Linked DNA regions of Notamacropus eugenii. The protein of the gene in region 2 binds, or shares a complex with, the protein of the main gene of each other region. Links are inferred from orthologs where the notes say so. Each region holds a gene or a part of one and is shown on either strand. Other genes may lie near its edges.

Region 1 (7,862 bases), on a different chromosome or scaffold from region 2:
ATTTTATAATTTGGAAACCACCAGTTATTTACATTTTGAAATTGTATAAACAATTCAAATTTCAACACCCTGGTGATGTTTGTGCCTTGTTAACTCAATGTTAATTTTATCATGTCCAAGGTTTAGCTTTCAAGTGACCCTGTTGTCACAACTATGATCTGTTGCATTAAAATAGTCTTAAATTAGACCAGTCACAAGGAAGGCTAAGGCATAAAATCATCACCACTATGACTACAATTTGATGTACATGCCATACCTAAAGGTTAACAGAGGAGGGAACAAACACATTTATTTAACTGACCTACTGTTAGGCACTCTGGTGCTGTTTTGCAAATATCTCCAGGGGGAAGGGGGCCAGAAGGGAATATGTGTGTGCGCTATTATTATCCCATTTTTACAATTTAAGAAACTGAAGCTGAGATATGTTTAGAAATTTTAGTCTCTCACACACACACATGTGTATATATGTGTATACATATGTACACACATATAAATATACATACATATATATATATATACATATATATGTATATATATATATATATATATATATATATATATATATATATATATATATATATATATATATATATACACACATATATATATAGGAAATCAGGTCTTTAGAAAGATTTTAATTAAAGATGTTTCAACAGAAAACCCTTAACTACAGTCCAGTAACAATAAGCAACTTAGAAGCTTCTACCTTTATATCCATACACAGTGGACAGAACTCAGTTAATGAGCACTACTGTTTTCTATATGAGCAAGAGGCTTAGACAAAATTGCACAGGGCAGAAGGCAGAAAACGTAGTCTCCTTATTGATGACTCAGCCAGTTTGTTTCCTAGAAGAAATGCTGATATTTCCATTGCTGCTATTTGGTCCTGCCCAACCCTTTGTGACCCCATTTGGGGTTTTCTTGGCAGAGACACTGGATGGTTTGTCATTTCCTTTTCCAGCTCATCTTACAGATGAGGAAACTGAGGCAAACAGGGTGAGTGACTTGACCAGGATCACACAGCTTGTACATGTCTGAGGCAGGATTTGAATTCAGGAAGATGAGTATTCCTGAGCCCAGACCACTGCACCATCAAGCGGTACTATGATATTCCCTTGTGACCCCTTTGACCATTTAAGTTTTTTCAACCCAGAGAATTTTTCCATGATGTGTGGTATAAGAATAAAGTCAGAATTTAATTATATGTAATATTTTCACATAATGGGTTAAGTGATGTCTCATGGCATTTTCTCCTTCCCTATCTCTCAGGATCCAGTAGATCTGATAGACAGCTAGACAGATCTAGTTACCAGATAGCTCAGTCCTAACTCTCAGGAACTTTCTGAAGTTGCATTAGTAAAGGGAGCTTCCTTGTCTGGGAATTCCTATGTCACATAACAGCTCCAGTCTCTATTTCCTATTTTTAAAAATGTGCGCATAGGTAAACTGTATTTGAATTTAAAGTATAAAAGAAATCCAAATCTTTCTCATTAGTAGAACACCTCAGACGAACTTCCCTAGCAAAAGCAGAAAGGCTCAGTTGATAAATACTACATCTAACACCACAAGAGAAATAAGCTGGCATGGCACAAAAAAATGTCATAAATATGAAGCAAAGGCCATGATGAGAATGAAAAACATGCACATCTGCAAGCAGAATCATACTTTTCCTGTCTTTTCTGTGTGTCAATTTCATTTCCTTTCCAAGCACAGTATAAAAGCTTTACCTTAGAGTGAATCTAAAAGTGAAACGAATGTTGCGGTGTTTTTATTTTAAGGTGGCAACAAAGTGAGACTTTATGATTCAGAATTCAGGGTGACACTACTGATCCTTTACCTTGGTAACTTTTTGTAGAGGAATCTCTTCAAATCCTAGAAAAGGAGATATAAAGTCACGTTGTAACAAGATGTCACAAGGGGAAAATACAGTTTCAAACACTTAGGGAGTTCCTCAAATCTGAGTGAATGGTATTTCATAACTTCCCTCACCAGAGTCCCTAAATTTCCTAAAGCAAGTTTCAATTCAAACCCCATTCTTGAACTTCCCACAGGCCTGAACAATTCCTAGTTCAAACCTATTCTTATCCTTCCCACAAGCCTCAACAATTCCTGAACCCAGTTCACCAGCTTTGTCCTAAAGCTGCTATCCCTCATCATAAAACACCTCATAAAAGCAGAGTGCTGTGGGAAATACAAGGTCCTGACCTTCAAGTTTACAATCATATCCACCCAGAGGGAAAAACCAATAGTTTACATGTATACAAATCATTCATGATGGAGGGACCTTCCAGGTCAAATCTCAAGAAAGCTCTCCTATGTGTTGGAAGTTATTATCACTGCCATTTTTTTGATGAAACTGAAATATAAAGAAGTTAAGAAACTTGCTGACTCAGAGCCAGCCAAGGCCAGGCCCAAGGTGTGCTGGTGTTCAGTGCCCTCTGACTCTCCATGACCCTGTTTGGGTTTTCTTGGCAGGGATAGTGGGGTGGCTTCCCATTTCCTTCTCCAGCTCATGTTCCAGACGAGGAAACTGAGGCGGACAGGGTGAAGTGCCTTGTCCGGGGTCCCCCGGCCCACAAGCACCTGAGGCTGGACTGGAGCTCGGCTAGGTGAGTCTGCCTGGCTCCACGCCACCTCCCTGCCCCGGCCCCAAGTCCAGCACACCTTCGCATGGCCTCATCTGACCCTGCCCAGCTCCAAGGGACCCTACGGCGACCACTCCGGCTCCAATCCAACAGGACACACGCCTTCTTTTTCTGTCCCCGGCGCCTGTCGGACCGACCACCGGGCTACATAAGTCACTGCCCGGTGCTGTCGGGCGGCGGGGGCTTCCTGCGGTTAAAGAGGATCTGAGCTGCGCCAAGGCACGGCGGGGTGCGGGGGTGCGGGGGCGCCGGGAGCCCCGGGCCGGGGACAGGAACGGACCTTTGTAAAGCGCCTGCTGTACGCACCTGGGCACTTATGGAGCACCGACTATGGGCCCGGCTCAGGGGCACCATCCCAGGGGAAGGGGACGTGCCCCACGGCCCGCAGGGCGGAGGCCCCGGGCGTCCCTGCGGCGGGGAGGTCACCCCTCCCAGGCTCCGTCCCCCGCCTCCCTCCCCCGCGCGGCCCTCCCCCAGCTGGGGGGGGGTGGTCTCACTCACATCCGCCATGATGAGCCCCTTCCTCCCGCCGGGACGCTCCCCGCACCTGAAAGAGAAACACCCAGTGAAGCGGGGCGGGCCCGGGATCGCCTCCCCGCCCCCATCCCAGAGCGGCCGCCCCTCCCCGCCGTCAGGCCGCGAGGCCTACCTGGCTCAGGCTGCCGGGGCCGCCGCAGGTAGCTCCGACCGCCTCAGCCGCTTCCTCTGGAACCCGCGGTCACATGATTATCGCTCTCTCAGGAAGCTCGGTCGGAGCCCTGGCCCCGTGACACACTGCTTCCGGGGAAAGGGGTAAGGACACCGGAAGCGGCTTCCTTGGCCCCGCTGCCCGCGGGGACCTGCCACGAAAAAAGGCCTGCCCCCTTCTTCTTCCCCTCCTCCACCCGCGGAGTCCTGCGCATGCGCCAGACCCGCCCCTTGCGCTCCTCAGCCCGCCCCGGAGTTCTGCGCATGCGCCCCCTTCGTCCTTTCTCCCTACTCTTCCCACCTCTCAGCAGAATGCGGCGCATGCGCCTGTCTCTTTCCTACTCATCCAGGGAGGGACATTGAAGGAGTTTGCTAAAATGTTGCAGTCCCTCTGGCTGGATGCCAAGGGGCGCGTCAGGAAAACCACGCCTTAGATGTCCAATTGGAAGCATCCTCGACCTTCACTTTTTTTTTTCCATCATGTACCATCTGGGAAAGCCTTGGACCCCTGTCAGAGTCATGTTTTTAATGCATAAAATATTCATGAGATGACTAGGGAAAGCTTTCCCTCTTTCATTTCTTATCCTGCATGGAGGCTGATGTATACATATATGTATAATGTGTGTATGTATATATATATGCAGGTGTGTATATATGCATGTGTGCACATATGTGCATGTGTATATACATATACACATGTGTTTATAAGTATGTGTATATATGTATGTGTGTATATACGTGTGTTTATATGTATGTGTGTATAGGTATTGTGTAAGTATATGTATGTATATACATGTGTGTTTATGTGCATGCATATATTGTGCAAATATGTGTGCATATAGTGTATATGCATACATGTGTTTATATGTGTGTATATATGTACTGTGCATATATGTGTGCTCGCACACATACATGTTTATATGCACGCATATGTGTATATAGTGTGTATACATACATGTGTTTGTGCATGTGTGTGCAAATCTATATGTATATATGCATATATGTGTGTATATATGTATTGTGCAAATATATGTATGTGTGTATGTATATGCATACATGTGTTTGTATGCATGCGTATATGTATGTGTGCAAATATGTATGTGTATGTGCATGTGCGTTTATATGTATGGTATATATGCATTATGTAAATGTATGTGTGTATATACATGCTTATATGCATGCACATGTGTCTAGTGTGTACATATGTGTTCGTGTGTGCATGCATGTATATGTATCTGTGCACGTGTGTATACACATGCATGTGTTTATGTGTATATATTCATTGTGCAAATGTATGCGTGCACACATGTTTATATGTGTGCATGTATGCAAGTATGTGCACACTGTGTATACATACCTGTGTTTGTGTGTGCGTGTATGTGCACAAATGTGTGGTGTGCATACATGCATGTATTTATGTGTATATATGTGTGCAAGTATATGTGCAAATATGCATATATGTGTGTATATACATATATATTTGAGTGGTATCTCCATTTGATTGTGTTTCTTGAGGATAGGGACGGTCTTTTGCCCCTTTTTGTATCCCCAGTGCTTCGCAGTATTCCTGGCACATGACAGGTAATTAATAAATGTTCATGGAATTAAATCATATAGGTTGCTCTGTATTTGTTTGCATACTGTCTCCTCCATTAGATTATAAACTCCTTGAGGGCAGATATTGTCTTCTGCTTCTTTTTGTGTCTCCAGTGCTTGGCACATAATTTTGTGCTTGATAAATGTTTGTTGAATTAAATGTTGAAAGTGAGTTTTCGGGAACATTTTTTTTTAATTCAGGTACTTCAGATTAAGAAGCCTAGACTAGAGCTAAAAGGAACTGTAGGGCCATGGAGCCCAGCCCTCTTCTTGTATAAATGCCAAAAGTGAGGCCCAGAGAGGTTCAGTGACTTGTCCAAGGTCACATGATCAAGCAGTCAGCTGATAAGGTGAATCTATTTTGGTACTTTTAAGTAGATGCTTGGGCTTCACATATTTAAAAGAAAAATAAAGGAAACTGCCTGACTTCAAGGGCCTTATGTTCTGTGAGGGAGACAAAAGGTAGAGATAAAAATAGACTTAAAATATATTTTGAAAGTATGTAATAAGAGCTTGGATGGATTCCTATTGTAGCCACAGCTGGTCCTCTTTCCTGCCCCACCTTGGAGGTGTTTTACACACTGGGAGGGGAAAGAAGGGAAGGTTGTCATTAATGCTTTTCTGGAGGTCAGACTGCCTGTTGGTGGCTTTTTTCATTTCCTGATTTAGTGTCTTCAGGAGAGTTGTCTCTGATACCCTTCTTACTCACCTATTATGTGCTTTTACTTTTCAATTATTAAAGCAGTTTGAATTGGATTTTATGCTTCACAAAGGCTTGCTGTGTTTTGCTTTGCTTGTTTTCAAAGGAAAAGACCTTGAACCTGTGGAACCCAAGATACTTCTTCAAGAAGAGGGTATCAGTAATAGCCTTTCTGTAGGAGGGATTAGTGGCAGAGTAAGTACATTTCTTTCTGCTATACTGTAGAGAATAATTCAGGTTTTGAGTTTCTGGATCTTTTAGACTCCTAATTAATTTCCGTTTCCATTCTCCCCCAGCTCCACACCATCTATCATCCGATGCCTAGGTCATTTTTCTGCTCAAACATGTCCATAATAACACCAACTGTACAGTTTGATCCCAATCTTTACTTTCTTGCCTTATGTCAAGGGAGGTACAGAAGGTCATACACAGTCTTAGTAGGAACCAGAACTTGTGGACATGCTGAGTTTGGGATATTGGTGGGACAAGTAGGTAAACATTCCCTCTAGGTAGCTGAAAATCTTGTTCAGGAGCTGTGCAGAAATGATAAACCATAGGCTTAGAGACAGAAGAGACCTTCCTTACAGACCATATAGTCCAACCCTCACCTTATCGCTAGAAACTGAGAACTAAGGAAGTTACAGTGCTCTCTCTAACCACTGAGTTGAGTTGACATAATAGGTATCCACCATGGTCCCTTCCTTTCTGGCCTCTCTTGGAAGGCCCCTTCCCTCCTTGAATCTCTCAGACAGTTTTTGACTTTGCCTGTACACTGTGACTATTGATTACCTCTTCATCCTTTAACACCCAAGTCAAGGACCACTCTCTACAAAAAGTCTTATTAATACCTATTGCTAATTATTGCCCTTTGATTTCAAACAGTGCTTTGCTACACAAAAGGTCATACAAGCATTAAGTGACAGCACTGAGATTCTAAGCCTGCTTCTCAGACTTAAAATACATCACTTTTCCCAAGGTACCACGGTCGGAAATGCCTACTGTCACCTAGGTAAGGAATAGCCAGTACAATTTCTATCTCTGACTCCAAATTCAATGCTTTCTCCGTACCACCACATTCTGGTGGTGATTCTCCACCAATCTTCTTAAAATCCTAAGGTGACATATTAGGACATCCTCCATGATTCCTTCCCTTAGTAGGCCTCTCTCCTTCCTTGATTCTCTCGGGTCACATCTTTGACTTTCCCAGTGCACTGTCATTTTCTAACTTGCAAATGTTTAATCTCCATTTTCGACTGTAAGTTCGATGAAGATCAGGAACATTCATTTCTCATCTTTGTTTTTATCTTGCAGGATCAAAAGATTGATGGATTCAGAATTGGAAGGAATCTTACAGATCATCTGAATCAATCTCATTTTGTAGATGAGGAAACTGAGGTCCAGACGGGTTGTGACTTGTCAGAGGTCATGTAAGAAGTGGCAAAACCAGGACTGTGACTCCAAACCAAGTGCTCTTACCACTGCAATAATACTGTTTCTTTGCTTTGACCTATTATGCAACTGATTTGTGGATTGCATTCAGATTTTCTTTATGGCTTAAGTTTTGAAGTTTTAACAGCTTCTCTCTTACTTGACAAGTATTATCCCACATACCTGAAATGTCCTCTACCACTCCTGTTTTCTTCTCAATAAATAGTAAGTTTGGGGGGCAGAGCCAAGATGGTGGAGTAGAAAGACACACATATGCTAGCTCTTACCACACAGCCCATAAAATACCTGTAAAGAAGAACTCTCAACAAATTCTAGAGCAGCAGAAGCCACAGAACAATGGAGTGGAGGAGATTTCTATCCCAGAGTGACCTGAAAGATCAATGGGAAAGGTCTGTCGCACACAGGATGCAGAGCAGAGCCCAGCCCAGCCTTGGCCACGTGGGCACCAAGAGGAGCAGATCCAAGCAGGCTTCAGGGACAGAATCTTCAGTGGCAGCACAGATCCCTCAACACACAGGCTCCAAAGGTCAGTGAGTGCATCTTTTCTGCTGGCCAAGAAGGGAGCAGGGTGTCCCCATAACTCGGGCCTCCTCAGGAGGCAGCAGTAGAGGCAGCAGCGGACAAGGCTCCCAAAGCAGGCAGTAGCCTGAACCCATTGTTGAAGGTCTCATCATAAACCCCCTGAGGGAACTGAGCCCTGTATGGTGGGCCTGCCCCCACCTGAGCAGGTCATCTTAATCTCACACAGCTGATCTCAATCTTTAGGCACCCCCCCCTCCATCCCC
Region 2 (8,100 bases):
GGTGAAGATGTGCTGGAGTCTGAGCCAGTCAAGCTCATTTCAGAGATGAAAACAATGTTTGGCCGTCCGGTTTTTTTTAGCTACAGCATATCAATTAAATAAACATTTGTTAAGCGCTTATTATGTGCAAAGCCCTATGCTAGGAATACTGGAAAAAAACAAAAACATAGTCCCTGTCCTCAAGGAGCTTATTTTATGAAAGGTACACAACTTCAACACATGATAAATGAAAAAGGAGGTTACACTAACATGGTAGGGGAGATGAGAGGAAAGGTTTCCTATGAGAGTTGGTACTACAGTAGAACCTTAGAAGCAGCCATCAAGTAACTCTTAAGAGGTAACAATGAGAAAGGAGTCTCTTTACAAAGGTGGTGGTGGGAAGTGGGGAGGGGGGGTTGCCTGTGCAAAATTAGAGATGGGAAATGGCATGCCAAGATCTGAAAATAGATAATTTGCCAACATGGCTGGAATACAGAGCATATGAAGCAGAATATAAAGAAACAAGGCAACAAAGATAAGCCAGGCTGAGACACAGAATGATTCAGGGGATAGACACTGAAGGGGATAGATACATTAATTGAACACAGGTAAACTACTGAACTTCTCTGAATTTCAGATTACTCAGCTGTAAAATGGAGTATAATAAAACCTGCGGGGCTTGCTTCACAAGACTGTTCTGAGGTCCAAATAAAATGTCCATAAAGTAGTGTCAGTTGTTATTATGGGAGGCTCAAGGCTAAGGAGTTTGTACTTTATGCTCTAGACAATGAGGAGACACAAGATTTTTGAGGAAAAGTGTCATGCTCAGATCTGAATTAGGAAAGTACTTTTAGCAGCTGAAAGGAGAATGGAGAGACTGGGAGGCTATTACAATACAAAAGTGCAGGCAAGAAGCAATAAAGATCTGAACTAGGGTGGTAGCCATTCTGAGTGATGACAAGGGATGGGAGAACAAACAGGAGTTGGCAAGTGGGGGGGGGGAGGGAGAAGGAAAAACCAAGGATGAGCAATTTTAGGGGAAAAGGTTTCAAGATGAAAACAATTCTGTTTTGAACAAGTTAAGTTTGCCACACACTGTCAAACATCAGGCTTCCATAATGTAGAAATGGAATTTAGGAAAAGGTGTGAGTTGGAAACAAGTCCTTAGTGTAGAGATACACTGAACCTGTAGGAACAGATGATACCAAGGAGAACATGTACCATGAAGAGGAATCAGAACAGCTGTAGAGGGTCAGCCACAGTAAAGGAGGTAGGGGATGGACGGCATTTCAGCAAGAGAGACATTTCATAGGATGAAGGCAGACAAGAAGAACAGTAGAGAGAAATGCCACGGAATCCAAATAAGGAGAATATATTCAAGAAAGGATGGTCAATAGTGTCAAAGCTTCAGAGAAATCAAGGTGCAGGAGGACTGAGGAAAAGTCACTGGATTCAGCAGGTAAAGAGATCCTTGGTAACCTTGGAGGAAGCCCAATTACCTGTAGTCCAGAAATGAGTGTCTGGTAAAGAAACAGAGGTCTGGAATACAGACAATTTTCCCAAGAAGTCAGGCACTGAAAAAGAATGGCAGCATGGGGGAGGGCATGGGCGAATAAACGTAAAATGATAGGGGGTGGAGTGGGGTGAGGCAACGAAGTCCTCCCCGTCCTAAGTAATCTCCCAAATAATCCCTAGTTACATACCCTAAGACCAGAATTCGGAAATAACTGATGAAACAGGCTCTTTGAAGCCGAGCTTGGGGGCCTTTTTAGGGAGGGCTGTGTCTTCCAAAGACACCCAAGCAAGGAAGGACAGACGGGACAGGTGGAGATGGGCAAGAGTTAGAAGACTGCCTCGAGGACCCACCTGAGATTATGTAACAAACCAGGGACAATTCACAAAAATCCTCCACCCCAGGTTAAAGAAAGACCAACGTTTTCTACAGTGAAATGAGTAGCTACACAGTGAAACCACACACTTTTTTAAGTACTAGGGAGACGTAGCCCTCCCTCCCCTGCTAAAATGCAACGACATCAACCTATGGGCCAACCGGGCACCTGGCCCATCAGCACGTACACCACCTGTCGATGCCCTTCTTAGAGAACACCTGTGCCAACAGGGCCCCCAAGGTCTGGGGACGCGGCCTCGGCTCTTCTCCCCCGGGGCACCCCGTATCCTAAGTGGGGGAGTCCCATCTTCCGCGGAGGCTTCCCCTGCTCGTGCCCCCGGGGGTGGGGCCTTGCTCGAAGGATTACCTTCTTTCTTATCCACAACCCCCTGCCGGTGGTCCTCCCCCGTTAGAACGCGGCATCCTCGGGGGCGGGAGCCACCCCGACCTCCTTCCGCATCCCCGGCGCGTCCGGCACACCGGAGGCCCGTGCCTGCCCCCGCCCCCGGTCCGGGCACAAGCTCCCTGCCAAGGCGCTACTTACAGCCCAGGTTCAGTCCCTGCGAGTCCGTGCACAGGACGCCGACGATGGACGGGTTCTTCATCCTAACACAGACCAGACGCCGAGGTTACAGGAGCGAACCGGGCGGCCCCCCACACCTCCCACGTCTTCCCTCCGGGACCGGGCCTCGACTAGGCCACCGAAGTGCCCGGCCCGCCCGTGCCCACACTACCCACGTGTCCTCGAGGTGCTGCTCCAGGGTCGCTTCCATCTCGGGTTTTGACAGTAAGTTGAGTCCAGGCCGCTCACGGGACGTCGCGTCATGTGACCGCCCTCCTCTGGCCACGTGATGCAACCACGCGGCTTCAGCAGGTACGGCGCAACAGCCGCGGGACGGGGCTTCCGACGGGACAAAAATCATCAACTCGCGTTAGGAATTAAAAACATTTCCCCTCTCCCCACCTCTTCCTCTCTGTGTCAGGAGTCTGGAGTCTGCGCAGACGCCGCCCAGTAGGGTACTGTATCCACGGGGCCCTCACTGGCAGGGAGGGGAAGCCACCTCCAAGACCTCTGGCGGCGGAGGAGCGTCCTCTGGGCGTCAAGGCCTCCGGTTGTCATGGTTACCCTCGAGTCAGCGCCGAGAAGGGTGGGGGGAGGAGGAGGGGCGAGGGGCCCCGCCTATTGCTCCCGGACTTCCCTCCCTCCCCTCCCCCACGGTGGCGAGCTCCGCCCTACACCCTGGGCGGCGCCTCACGCAGAATTAGCCTCGGCCTGGATGGGAGGGGACGTGTGCAGAGTGGGCCCTGCCGCCGACCGCGTGACCCGGGGGCAGTCACTTCCCTTCCCTCCCTGCCTCAGTTTCCTTCTCTCCAAAATGTCAGGAAGAGGGCTTTTTCGCTCTTTGGGCCCTCGAACTAATGGCAAAACCCACGGACCCCTTAGAATCATGTTTTAAAGTGTGTGAAATAAAATACACAAGACTACAAAGGAAATAACCCTGAAAGTGATCCGTGTATACATAAACATACATATATGTAATTTCTATTTTAAAAATATAAAAATGTAATTTATAGAGATGTAACACTATGACATCTATAAATACGCCTAATATAGAAAACATTAAAATACACATATGTAACAATTACAAGTAAACGGTCTGTACACATACCTTCGATCATCATATACATTCATATCACTTCTGTGGTCATATACATACACACGTTTAAAAAACCCAGTTCTCGGACCTCAGGCTAAGACCCTCGGAACTAAACCAGTCCAGCCCTCCCGGTTTACTTGACGTGAGTGCGAAAATACCCATTTCTGCGGGGCTTTAAGATTTACAAAGCGTTTTTCTCAAAACAGCCTTTTCTTCAGCACCCTCCTGTGGCTCCCTGTTGTCCTCCACGATCACACAGAAACAGCCCCTGTCTGGCTTCCAAAGCCCTTCCCAACCTGGCTCCTGGCCACCTGTCCAGGTATCCCACACCTGGAGCGAGCCCCGCCCACCTCTGGTCTGACCCTGCTTTGCTCCCCCTCCCGCACAACCCTGCATCTCCCCGGGGAGAGGGTTTCCACTCTCCGCCTCCCATGCCTCCAAGTCTCGCTCTCCTCATCTCCACCCCTCCTGCCTTCCAGAATCAGCCAAAGTCCCTCCTTGTGCTGGAAACCCTCCCACCGTCCCCCTTGATCTTGGTGTCTGAGATGACCCCTAATTTATTGTTGGCATGCTTTCTCCCCCATTAGACTGTGAACTCCTTGAGAGCAGGGACTGATTTCTTTTTGCCTTTCTTTGTACCCCCACTCAGCACAGTGCCTGTCATAGAACAGCCCCTTAATAAATGTTAATTGATGGACTGATGGGACAAGACAAGTGTTACACCATTTCAGAAATGCCCCATGGCTAAAACCGATGCTCCACCCCTGTTCTCTATTCAATTTCTAATCCTTTCTTCCATCCTTCTCTTGTCTTGAAGTTTTCTTCCACTGGCTTCTACTCCACCATTTACAAACATGCCCAGGTCTTCCCTACCCTTAAAAAAACAAATCAAAACAAACCTTTAATTTCATTTTTCCATAGAAACTCCTATAAAAAGCTGTCTATACTGGTTAGTAAGCTTCTTCACTCAGTTTTTAAATCACTTGTAAGCTAGCTTCAGGCTCTGTCATTCAAATGAAATTATCCTCTCCAAAGCTACCAACTATTTTATTAAAATAGATTTTTGCTAATTATTTTTTTCACGTCACCTTGGATTTTCCCTTGGATTCCCTTCCGTCACCCTTCCCTTCAAACATCTATCAATATTTGTCATTTTAAAAATGAAAACATCTTAGTATTATTACAAAATAGTTTCTATTTTGTTGTCTTCCTGAAAGGAGGTGTCCCAAAATGGTCTCAGGGATTTGAGGGGTTCCTGAACCACACTTTGAGAGAACCACTGAGTTATACAGAGCACAGAGTATGTGGAAGGGTAATAATATTTAGTGAGCCTTGATAATGTTTAATATAAAATTTTAGAATAATCTCTTTGTTCTCTCTGAAGCAAACTCAGAGGGTGCCTCTTCCTATGTCAGCAAAAGCCAGCCAAGGCTGACTCTACATTCCTTAAGGAGACCTTTAACCTAAGACACTATCTTGAATAATGGGACGTTTTCCATATCTTAATATTTGTAGACCTACACTATGTTATGGCATGTTAATGGTAAAGAAAACACAGACATCTTAGGTCGTAATTTCTATTGAACTTTGTTTACCCTTTCTTATGTCAGTTATCTGTTTAGGGCAGGAAGCCTGCCACTTACTAGTGGTGGGATTTCCTTCTTTATCACCAAGACATATGTTTACCCAGCTGGAATCCCAAGGCCTGACCAACATTACTTTGTTAATTGTCCTGTCTTACTGAATTTATGATTTGTTCAACTAGGAGAGTTCCTTTCTCATGGCAAAATGTATATAAGCCAGAAGATTTCTGCACTGGGTAGCCAGAACATTTCTGGCTCCATAATGCATTATGTTACCGTTGTCTTTAATAGGGAATTGATTAATTAATTAAATCATAAAATGTATGCATTAGCCTGCTGCCTTTTCTTTAACCAAGTTTTCAGGTCAACAGCCTGGAAAGGTCAGCTGGGGCTAGATTCTAACAGGCTTTAAATGTTTTAAATTCAAAACCCCAACAGGTATTTCATCCTAGAAGCATTTGGGAGCCCATTAGAACTTCATTTGTAGAGGAGTCTCTTGGTGAGGCCAGTGCTGTAGGAGTGAATATCCCTTTGGCAACTAAGTCAAGGATGAATTGACTGGAGGAGTAGTTAGGAAGCTACTGCAATAGCCTCAAGAGACAATGAGCAGAGATGGAACAGCTTATGACAGATGTTGTTCAAGCAGACTCTGCGACTGATTCAACAAATGAGTAAGGAGAAAGGCAAGGGAGGAATTGAGGATGACTGAGACACTGCAAATTTGGATTACTACAGGGATGGTGGTGGTTGTTGTTTAGTCATTTCAGTCACGTCTGACTCTTCCTGACCCCATTTGGGGTTTTCTTGGCAAAGATACTGGGGTGGTTTGTCATTTCCTTCTCCAGCTCGTTTGACAGATGAGGAAAGCAAGGCAAACATAGTGAAAGGACTTGCTCAGGGTCACACAGCTAGGAAGTGTAGGAGGCTGGATTTGAACTCAGGAAGATGAGTCTTCCTGACTTCAAGCCTGGCATTCTATCCACTATGCTACCTAGCTGTCTTAAAGTTTTATATCTCCATTGTCTAGCACATGTGATGAGGTTTGGGAGTGCTAGGACCCTGAGAATGCCAAGGCAGAATGAATTCATACACTCAAGCCTTCTCTTAGTCAAGTGCAAAAAGTAAAGCTTTAGCAAAAGCAGGCAAAGATCCTTAAAGGAACCTATAATACAGTTAGGATGGTGCTGGGACTTATATGGAAAAGGGACAAGGGAAAGGATACTGAGGATTCTAATTAGGTAATGCAAAGGTGTCTTTGGGAGCTATGGATGGGAAAATGTAGGGAGCTTTGCAGAGATAGCTGTGTTCATACCAGACATTGAGGGAATTCTTAGAGGCATGGACCGTGGGGATCTGATGTGGTGAGGGGAGTCCTTGGACTAGCCAGGGACAAAAATCCCTGGGCCAGGCACCCCTCTGTCTGTTCTGATAAGAGAATGTATTCTACAACAAGAGAAAATTTTCTCAGAGGACAGGGGTCCACTGAGAAATTGGGAAGTTTTCAGAGACATGATCTTAGGGCTGGGGTCTGAGCACTCCATCACATGTATGTTCAGTCATGTTCAACTCTTCATAACTCCATCTTGCCCATGGGTTTTTCTTGGCAAAGACACTGGAGTTTGCCATTTCCTTTTCTGGTGGAGTAAGACAAACATAGGTTAAGTGACTTGCCCAAATATCCAAGGTCAGATTTTTAGCTCTGGTCTTTCTGACAGTAGGTCCAGTATTTTCACTTAGCTTCCCTCTTTTTATGTAGTGTAGTATTATCTTAAGTGGCCCTACCCACTCCATTCGGCCATTAGATTTAGCAACAAAAGCTTGTTGAAAGCTTTGAAGGGGACAGTTTCAGTTGAATGGTTGGGTCAGAAGCTAAGGAACCTTCAGAAGCCTTCTAGTCCTTTAACCATCCTTAGCCTCTCACATTTCTTCCCTGACCCATTCCTTTGAAGGCTAAAAAGATCCTGTACTAAATCAATATAAATGCAGGGCCAAGAACAAGAGAAGTTTCCAGAAGTTGTCTTGTTATGAAGTTAAGAAATGGAGGAAAAGCCAAGACTTCTTTCATTTTACCTTTCTTTTTTCCCCCTTCCTTTCTTTTAAGTTTTAACATCTTTTATTTTTTACTTTATAAAAATTTCCCCATGTCTTTCCCTTGTAACAAAGAAAAATGAGTAAAACTGGTCCATAGATTCCACACCCCATCCCCACTCTTCTCCAGAATGAAGACTAGTCGTTACACTTAATTAGTTACCTTTCTCTTGTGTTGTTTTCATTTACATCTTCACTCGCTGTCATTTCATGCCAGTCTTAGCATGTTTCTTTGTGATAGGACCAACAGTGAAATCTCAGAGTCAAAAATGCCAATGTTTTAGGGACTATCTCGCATCATTCCAAACAGTTTTCCAGAATGCTTGGACTACTAGACCAAGTCCACAGAACTGACAAGAGATAATAACCACAAATCTGAAGGAACAGTTCATTCTAATTCCTTTTTATGGATGAGGAAACCGGCACCAGAGATACTGAACGATTTGCCAGTAGACATATAAGCCTGGTGTTTCAATCTAGGTCCTTAGACTCCAAACCCAATGCTGTAGGTATCCATTTTTCCAGGGCCTTCTCTATTTATTACCCTGACCAGTTTGTGAAAAGAGACTACCTTTGGGGACTTCATCTCTTGTAGGGTCATGAGTGAATGCCCCATTTTCTCTTTGTTATATATGGATACTAGAGGGCATCTTCTGACTGGTGGAGGGCTATTACTATTTTAGAAGCTGAGATGTGCTTACAGTGGAGTGCATCAGTGTGAGGGAGGGGCATGCAACCCAATGTGCCACCAGAGGGCACTAAGACCATAGCCAAAACCAATCCAACATCACAAAAGAAGGCTACTGGCTTGAGAGAATAAATAACCACCAGTTTTTCACAGAATCAGATGATGTTTGGGCTATACGGAATCTTTGACATCATGTAATTAGTTTAGCTCTCTAAT
Region 3 (7,650 bases), on a different chromosome or scaffold from region 2:
TATGATTTAACAGATAAGTAGTATCACAAGAGGGGAAGGACACAGAGGAAGAAATATATTAAACAAGAGCAAAATCTAAGGGAAGAGTGATGAGGAAAGAATGAAGTGAGAAGGGAACAAAAAGACCGGTAAAAGTAGTAGCAGAAAAAGATTTCTAATATATGATAGCCAAAGTCTAGGATTGTGGGGAAGAAAATCAGGCACTTGACTGGGGCAGCCTATAAGGGATTCCAAACAATCCAGAAGTAATTATTAGGTGGCTATTACATGTCATGTAGGAGAGGGAGAGATACAAACACCCAAGTGAAATTGTTCCACTCTTAAGGAGTATATAAGCATGCACAAAATACTTTTTATTTATCAAAATTACTTTTGAAGAGGAAAGCACTAGCTACTGGGGAAATAAGGAATGACCATACAGGAGCTAATGCTTAAGCTAAATTCTGAAGGAAACAGAGATCAGTCAATAGTAAATAAACATTTATTAAATACCTATGATAAGGAAGCATTACACTTCAGGCATGGAAGATAACCAGTGTTCTATTCACTGGAATAGGGGACTTGGCTCTACTGTACTAAGGCTTTCAGTGGTGGGACTGTGACTCTGGCACCTTACTTGACTAGGACTATTTTGTCTTGGTAAGTTGAACAAGGTTTTTTTCTCCTGTAGGTGCACCAAAGTTCACTTTTTATACATGGTCCAACATGCTTGAGAAATTGGTAGCAATTCCTTCTGAGTTGGTAAAGGAGAGACTTTCCCCAGGTTTCTGGGTGAGGACATGATCAAGGTAAAGAAAATATTCCTTAAAATATAACTGAGGTCCCCTGTTCCAAGTTTGGCAGTAATTTTAGAACCCCCCCCAAAATCCATCATACATGATCATATTTGAGACAGCATAAGAAAAGGAAGAGATCATTTTAGATAAGGGTAATGACAGAAGGCATCAAGAAAGAGCCTCCCTTGTGCAAGACTCTTTTCTCCTATCACTTTTACAATGTTTCACGTTACCTACAGTGAGTTGCCTTGATTAACCTTGATTAGAACTCAGGGAAAAAACTGAGTTTGAGACAGAAATAGCTATAGCTTTAGGCTGAAAGTTAGTATCTGAGTCACTTACTTTGATGAAGTCATGCTTTTTAAAATTTTGATATAATAAGAAAACTCAGATTATATGGGAAAATGAACTCTTGAGGGGAAATGAGGGGGAAAAGTTCTTAACAGATACAAAGAACTTCTTTGAATGGAAGATACTATATAAAAATCTGCACCTAACATTATTATTCAACCAAATTAAACAGGCATTTATTAGGTGTTGCTATGTACTATAAAGATGTTTTTCAGGTATAAACGTTTTAGCATCTGTGTACCTCGTTCAGAAAACAAAAATAGATTTCTGACAGTTGTCTGATCTTAATATGCCACCAATTTCACACCCCAATTATTTTTTAGCCATTTTCAATTTTGTGTCAATAGATGCAGGAAATGTAAAGGGTTTTTTTTTTTAATTTCGTGTTTTTTTTTAAAGGGAAGGTACTAGAGAAACTTTTAGGAGTCCATGGGAGTATGGCAGTAGATTGGATGGCATATGGAAAAACATTAATGAGAGAAAATTTGTATATTTTTGCCACATACTTTCAAAATGTTCAGAACTCGATTTTTTTCTTAAAACGCTATATAAATGCTATTATTATGAAACATAAAATTCTTTTACTTTTTGCTCAAAGTACTTGTTCTCTTCCCTCTTATGCCCTTCCCCCCTTCCTAGACTGGTACTAAACATCCTAATCCAATTTTTTTTTTAAATTGGCTATTTGACAAGTTATAATTCTATCGCAACCAGTTTTACAGAACTTCTTAATCGGTGAGTTCTAAAGCAAAAGTTCTTTTTATTAACAGTACTGCGTTTGGAATACTTGATTCAATTCTGTTGAGGTTAAATCATGACAGAATTGGTAGTAACCTTAGACTGCTATTGGCAGCTTATGCATTTTACATTTCTTCTTCTATAACATTGAGGTCGCTCAGTCAAATAACACCCTTGCAACTGCAATTTCCAAGAAAGCCAAGAGAAGCGCGTCGGGGCTCCATCTCCCCCCTGCTTCCCCTTCCTCTTGGACCCCTCCCTCCTTCATTTTATTGAAGTCTGCCCCAAATCTTCAACAACGTCTCAAGTGGAAAGCACAGCGGTTGGCGAGCATGGGGAGGTGGACGGAGGGGGGAGAGAACTTCTTTCGCCGAGAGAAAGGGGTACCGATGTAAACAGGCGGCTTCAAAGGAAGCGGGGCTGCTTGAGAGAAGTAACTGCAGGACTCCTTCTGCTTCGGCAACCGCTCAACTTTTTTGCAAACAGGAAGGTGATGAAAATACCAACTGCCCGGGCACCTCAGCGGTGGCAGGCACCGCGTGGAGGGGGTGGGGGACCTAAACAAACGATCGGTGACCGGGCGGTGGGGGAGGAGGTGGGGGTGGGGCCGGACGGCTGACCCGCGGGCAGAGCATCCTCCCTCCCGGCCACCCACCCGGCCAAGCCCACTCCGCGAAAGCCAGAAGTTGAAAGGGGGAGGGGGGAGCCCCGCAATCTCGCGCCCCCAGGGGACAAAGCCACCGACCCGGGCCGCCCAAGTTCCGGCTCCGGGAAGGAGGCGGCAGCGGGCCAGAGGCGGGACAGTCACGGGTGTCCAACTTTGCGCTCCCCGCTCCGGGGACGGCGGGGACTCGCGGGGGGAAGGGGCAGGCGAGGCTGGGAGCAGCTGGAGACGCCGCCCTTACCTGCACACGCAGTCGGGGTCCCGGGCGTCCCGGCCTGGGGAACCCAGTCCGCTCCTTTTGTTGAACAGCTTCTGGAAAAGGGTCGGGGGCATCTTGGCCGGCTCAGGTCCGGCCGCGCCAGGCCCAGCGCGGCGGGGCCGAACGGCACTGGATCTTTCCGAGGAGCCCCGCGAGTGGCAAGATGTGTACGGCGAAGGGGGCTGCGGGGACCTGGGCCCCTTCGGGGAGCAGCGAGAGCAGCCGCGGAGCATCTAGTTCCGCCCAGCGGCCGCCGCCCCCATTGGTGTCACAGTCATATGACAGAAATTAGTCACTTCAAACTGCCACAGGAGGCGGAGGGGAGAGGGGCGGGGCGAGCCCGCCTGCCGAGAGCCTCCATTGGCTGGCGGGACCCCTCACATGGCAGCCAAGGGCTGGCCGGGTACGCGCAAGGGGGGAAGGGCGCCAGGGCGCGCGCCTCCGGGACCGCGCGAGAGGTTGGGGCGGGGCGCGCCGGGCGGGCTGCGGGGATCCTTCGTTCCTCGTCTCGTGAGCTGGCCTGCTCTGCGCAGCCGCGGGAGGAGGAAAGCGCTCGTCCTGAAACCTGGCAGGGGAAGTGTTCTCTCTAGAGCCGGGGGTCTCTCTTCTGGCGGAGACAGCCAGGGGCCGGAAGGGACGGAGAGAAACGGCAGCGGAGGGAGAGTAAACACCGATGTGTGTGGCGGCCCCGCAGAAGGCTCCACACCCCCGCTTCCCTCTCACACGCTCATCCCTGCTTCCTCCGTGCATAGAAGGGGCAACCCCGGGCAAGGGAACCCCACCCTTGAGCAAAAAGCAGCCCCGGAACCCCGCGGACCCTCCGCTAGACTCCACCCGTATTTAGACGGGGGTTCCCCAAGTTCGGAGAGAGAAAGTCTGGACACGTAACCTTTGCCCTCGTGGAGCTCGCACGCATTCTGGGGTGCACGTGTGCAGACACCAGGTCACGTGCCTTATTAACTGCACTGGAGAGGGGCAAAACCAGATGCTACGAGTGTTAGTGGGGGTTTGTGGGGGATGGCCGGCCAGGGAGAAGCTTCCGGAAGAGGTGGCCCTTCATGCGGAGGGCTTTTGACTCAAAGCTGGGGGGACCACGGTGGGGGTGGGGGTGGCGGGGAGGGGGGAAGCGGGACTGGAAGGTCTGTCTTTCGGGGGATAGAGAGGAGCCCAGTTCGGCCGGACTGTGGAGAGCGTGAAGGGCAGTAATAGGAAATACAGGTGGAAAGGTAGTCAGTTTGGGTATCAGATAATATTCGAATATAACTGGATAGACAGTAGGAGGAGCTCTTGAAGATTTGGAAGTCTAGGAAGTGACGTCAGATCCAGGAGGGTTCATCTGACAGTTATATACATGCACACATGTTATGTATGTTTATGTATGTATAATGTGCGTGTGTAGATATGCGTCTGTGTACATAAACACATGTAATACATATGTATGTGTATAGTATAAAAATGGAGAGAGTGTATGTGTATACAAAATTAAATGCAGCTTCAAAAACTTTGTAGTCTTAGGCAAGTCTGTTTGCCTCGGTTTCCTCATCTGTAAAATGGGGGTAATGCACCTAGAGCAACAATCAGGGTTGTTGGGAGGATCAAATGAAATCATATTTGTAAAGTGCCCCCGTACATAGGCATATATAAATGTTAGCTATTCTCATTATTATTATTAAAGAAGGAGGTGGAATATGTCATAGGTTAAACTGATAAATGACTTGGTAACCAAGATCTGACTGTGTGCTGAGGACTGTTAGGGTGTCAGAAGTGAAGAATACCAGGAAACCCCAAATCTACCATTATGTCTGAGAGAATGCTCCAGACAGCCAGACTAGGGGTAGTTTGGTGTGATTGTGCCCAGTCTGTACTCCAAAACCATCATCTTCCCCTATATTTCATTACAACTTTCCTGTGCACTTAGAATTATATTTTGTGTTAGAGTGATTTGGGAACATGTCTCTGATCCCTAAAGGAAGATATTTTTATTTATCTCTCTATCCCCAAAGGACCCTAGCAATGCTCTGTACATATATATACATATACATACATACATATATATATGTACATATGTCCTTCCAACAATGCAGATGGGCAACCCATTCATGCTTTCTCCTTCTGTGCAATTCTTGTTCATGTCCTATAAATCCCCTAACAGGCTTTTTGAATTGGACTGACCTGAATATCAACTGAAGAGAACCAGTAATCTTACTGCTTTATTAAATTAGGCTCTAAAATTTAACAGGGTATTATTGACTGGAAGAAGTCTAAGAACCTTAGAAATTATGAATGTGTAGAGCAGGAAGATAGTTTATGGATGAACAAACTTAAGTTCCAGAGAAGAAGTTAATTTAACCTAACTCAACAATGGTTCCTGAGAGTGTGTTGACAATTTATATCTGAGTGTGAAAAAGGCCTGTGGTTTCATGAGCACAGACAAGTCCTGGCACATAAACTTTTTTCACCAAGGCAAATCACAGTCCCTTTTTTAGTAGATAAGACATAGATAGTTAGTTGTTTGAACCACATAAAGGTTTAAACAACTTGCCCAGAGCTACACAGCTAGTACTCAGAGGCAGGATTTGAACCCAGGTCTGCATGACTCCAAGTCTAGCATTTTATGAGATAGATAGGTTGGTAAATAGATAGGCAGAGAGCAAGCTCTTACTTTGTATCGAGGACTGTGCCAAGTGTTAAGGATACAAAGACAAGTAAACAAACCCTTAGATGCCCAATATCTTCTTCCCTACCAACCCCAACCACTCCAAATGCACTATGGGAATTTATACTAGGGGAAGACAACATATAAAGGTGTGCTGGAAAGCAGGTAAGTGGAAATGCAGTGTCATATAGAGGCTTCAGGAAAGTGACAGAGAGGCCTGGTCCAAGGCAAGATAAAGTCAAAGCTCTTTTTATCATAGTCCAGGGATGCAGAGGCAGAGTCCAAGGTTCTGGTATCTTTAGAACAGGTGATATGATATAGAGAGCACACAGAAGTGGCACTAAGTCTCTTTCACTTTACTGAAATTCAAGTTACCACAAGTTTGCTCAACTCTAATTATATGAAGGACACTGCCTTCATATAGTTTGCCACCTAGTAACTGTTATGTAAAGTTACATAAACTTTACATGTCATTTATCATATAAACTATGGAACAAAAATCATGTACTATGCATTTAGCATAGAGCAAAATGTGAGAAGATGTTAAGTGTTCTTCTGGAACTTAGGCCTCTAGAGTCCAAGATGTTATTTTTTTACTTTAATCTCCACAGTTGTTAGGACAGTTCAGGACAATAATATTGGGGAGCCTAAGTTGACTGCAACTTGCAACCATAACCCCTTGGCCTTTTTCAACTCCAGTGAAGTGATTCTGCCTTTTAAATGAAGTCTCTGTCTCCCTACCCCACCCCCAAACCCCTCTGTAATATATTCCTTTTAGCCCCCCCCAAACACTTTAAATCCTGTTGAGTCAATGTAATAAGACACAGAAGGAAAAGCTTCCAAGTCTGTGATATAAAACCCAAAGCAACAAAAACTGACAATGATACTATCAACATGAATATTAATATTTGCCAAGATTAAAAACAAACAAGATTGGGTAAAGTACACAATTTGTGAGTATATACCTTTTCATTATCTGTCCCCACTGCTTAGAATGCTCTCCTACCTCACCTCCACCTCCTAACTTCCTTTAAGATGCAGCTCAACTCTCACCTCCCTACAAGAGACCTTTCCTGGTCCCCTCAAATCCTTTACAAGGGCAGTCCCTCTGAGATTACCTCTCATTTACACTGTTATATTTTGTATGTACATAGTGGTCTGCATTTTCTCTTTCTCATTGGACTGTGTGGTCCTTGAGGTCAGGGACATTGTTTTTACCTTTATTTTTATCCTCATCTATTTAGTACAGTGCCTGTGATGTAGTAAGCAGCTTGATAAATATTTATTGTTGTTCATAATGATGTTGGATAGTGGGGTGAGGAAGAGACAATTTCAAATCAAGAAACAAAGGCAGCTCTTCAAGGAAAGGTGTCACTTCAACAAAAACCGCTGGGGGATGAGGAGAGAACTTCCAAGTCCCATGACTACCAAGATAAAAGAATAGACATTTTCTTTAATCCTTATAACCTCTCAAACTAAAGTAAGAAGTATGTGGAAGAGATAAAGCAATTGCAAGTGTCTCCATGTCTGAGACACCAAGAACTCTAAGAATGTAAGAACTGCATCAGAGAAGGTCAAACCCTATAATATCTCCCTCACCAGCCTAGCAGGCTCATAGACAAGCTCTGGGATCTGCTTAGCAGTTCCCCTGCTGTTGTGGTTTCTGCCTGCTGAACCCAATGATCCCCCAACTCCATCCTTCTAAGGCAACAAATAGGCAACAGATCTCAATTCGGTCCCACCCTCCCTGGGACTGAAGGAGGCCAAGATCCACAAAAGCTGGAAGGTTGCTCAATCTGGTATGTGTGTGATGTACTACAGCAATGGCAGGGCTCAAGAGAACTAAGGGACAGAGGAGGAAGGTCAGTGTGTGTGTGCGTGTGCGGAGACTACCCTAGGCCAAAGGGAAAGAGGACTTAAATAAAACAGGCCATTTCTGTCCCCAAGACATCTGAGACTAAGACCACTGAAAAGTAAATTCCTCAGTGAGGTTTAGCCCCCAGAGTCAAAGTGAGGGGCAGGGAAATATAAAGCAAAAGATTGAAATGCCAATGACCCTAGGTGAAAGAAACCATTAAAAACCTTGAGCACAAGTAAATAAACTGACAGGGTAGAGAGGAAGATTGCCTCCAGATCACATAAATGAGTCCAAAAATCCCTAAATGCAAGATAAGGGAAAATGAATCAAAACCTGATAAGGCATGTG

The links.
Region 1: LAMTOR5 (region 2) and LAMTOR3 share a complex: the UniProt entries of both Homo sapiens proteins name them as parts of the ragulator complex. The link is inferred for Notamacropus eugenii from reciprocal best matches to the Homo sapiens genes LAMTOR5 and LAMTOR3.
Region 3: LAMTOR5 (region 2) and FNIP1 share a complex: the UniProt entries of both Homo sapiens proteins name them as parts of the lysosomal folliculin complex. The link is inferred for Notamacropus eugenii from reciprocal best matches to the Homo sapiens genes LAMTOR5 and FNIP1.

What each region holds. Positions count from the first base shown.
Region 1 is NC_092878.1:137,825,762-137,833,623, forward strand, and holds the start of LAMTOR3 (ragulator complex protein LAMTOR3), read right to left. Parts: upstream 3,094-7,862; 5' UTR 3,000-3,093; coding exon 2,952-2,999; intron 1,873-2,951; coding exon 1,838-1,872; intron 1-1,837. UniProt on the Homo sapiens protein: As part of the Ragulator complex it is involved in amino acid sensing and activation of mTORC1, a signaling complex promoting cell growth in response to growth factors, energy levels, and amino acids.
Region 2 is NC_092873.1:288,911,768-288,919,867, forward strand, and holds the start of LAMTOR5 (ragulator complex protein LAMTOR5), read right to left. Parts: upstream 3,084-8,100; 5' UTR 2,791-3,083; coding exon 2,606-2,790; intron 2,474-2,605; coding exon 2,412-2,473; intron 1-2,411. UniProt on the Homo sapiens protein: As part of the Ragulator complex it is involved in amino acid sensing and activation of mTORC1, a signaling complex promoting cell growth in response to growth factors, energy levels, and amino acids.
Region 3 is NC_092872.1:343,469,294-343,476,943, forward strand, and holds the start of FNIP1 (folliculin-interacting protein 1), read right to left. Parts: upstream 3,094-7,650; 5' UTR 3,022-3,093; coding exon 2,771-3,021; intron 1-2,770. UniProt on the Homo sapiens protein: Binding partner of the GTPase-activating protein FLCN: involved in the cellular response to amino acid availability by regulating the non-canonical mTORC1 signaling cascade controlling the MiT/TFE factors TFEB and TFE3.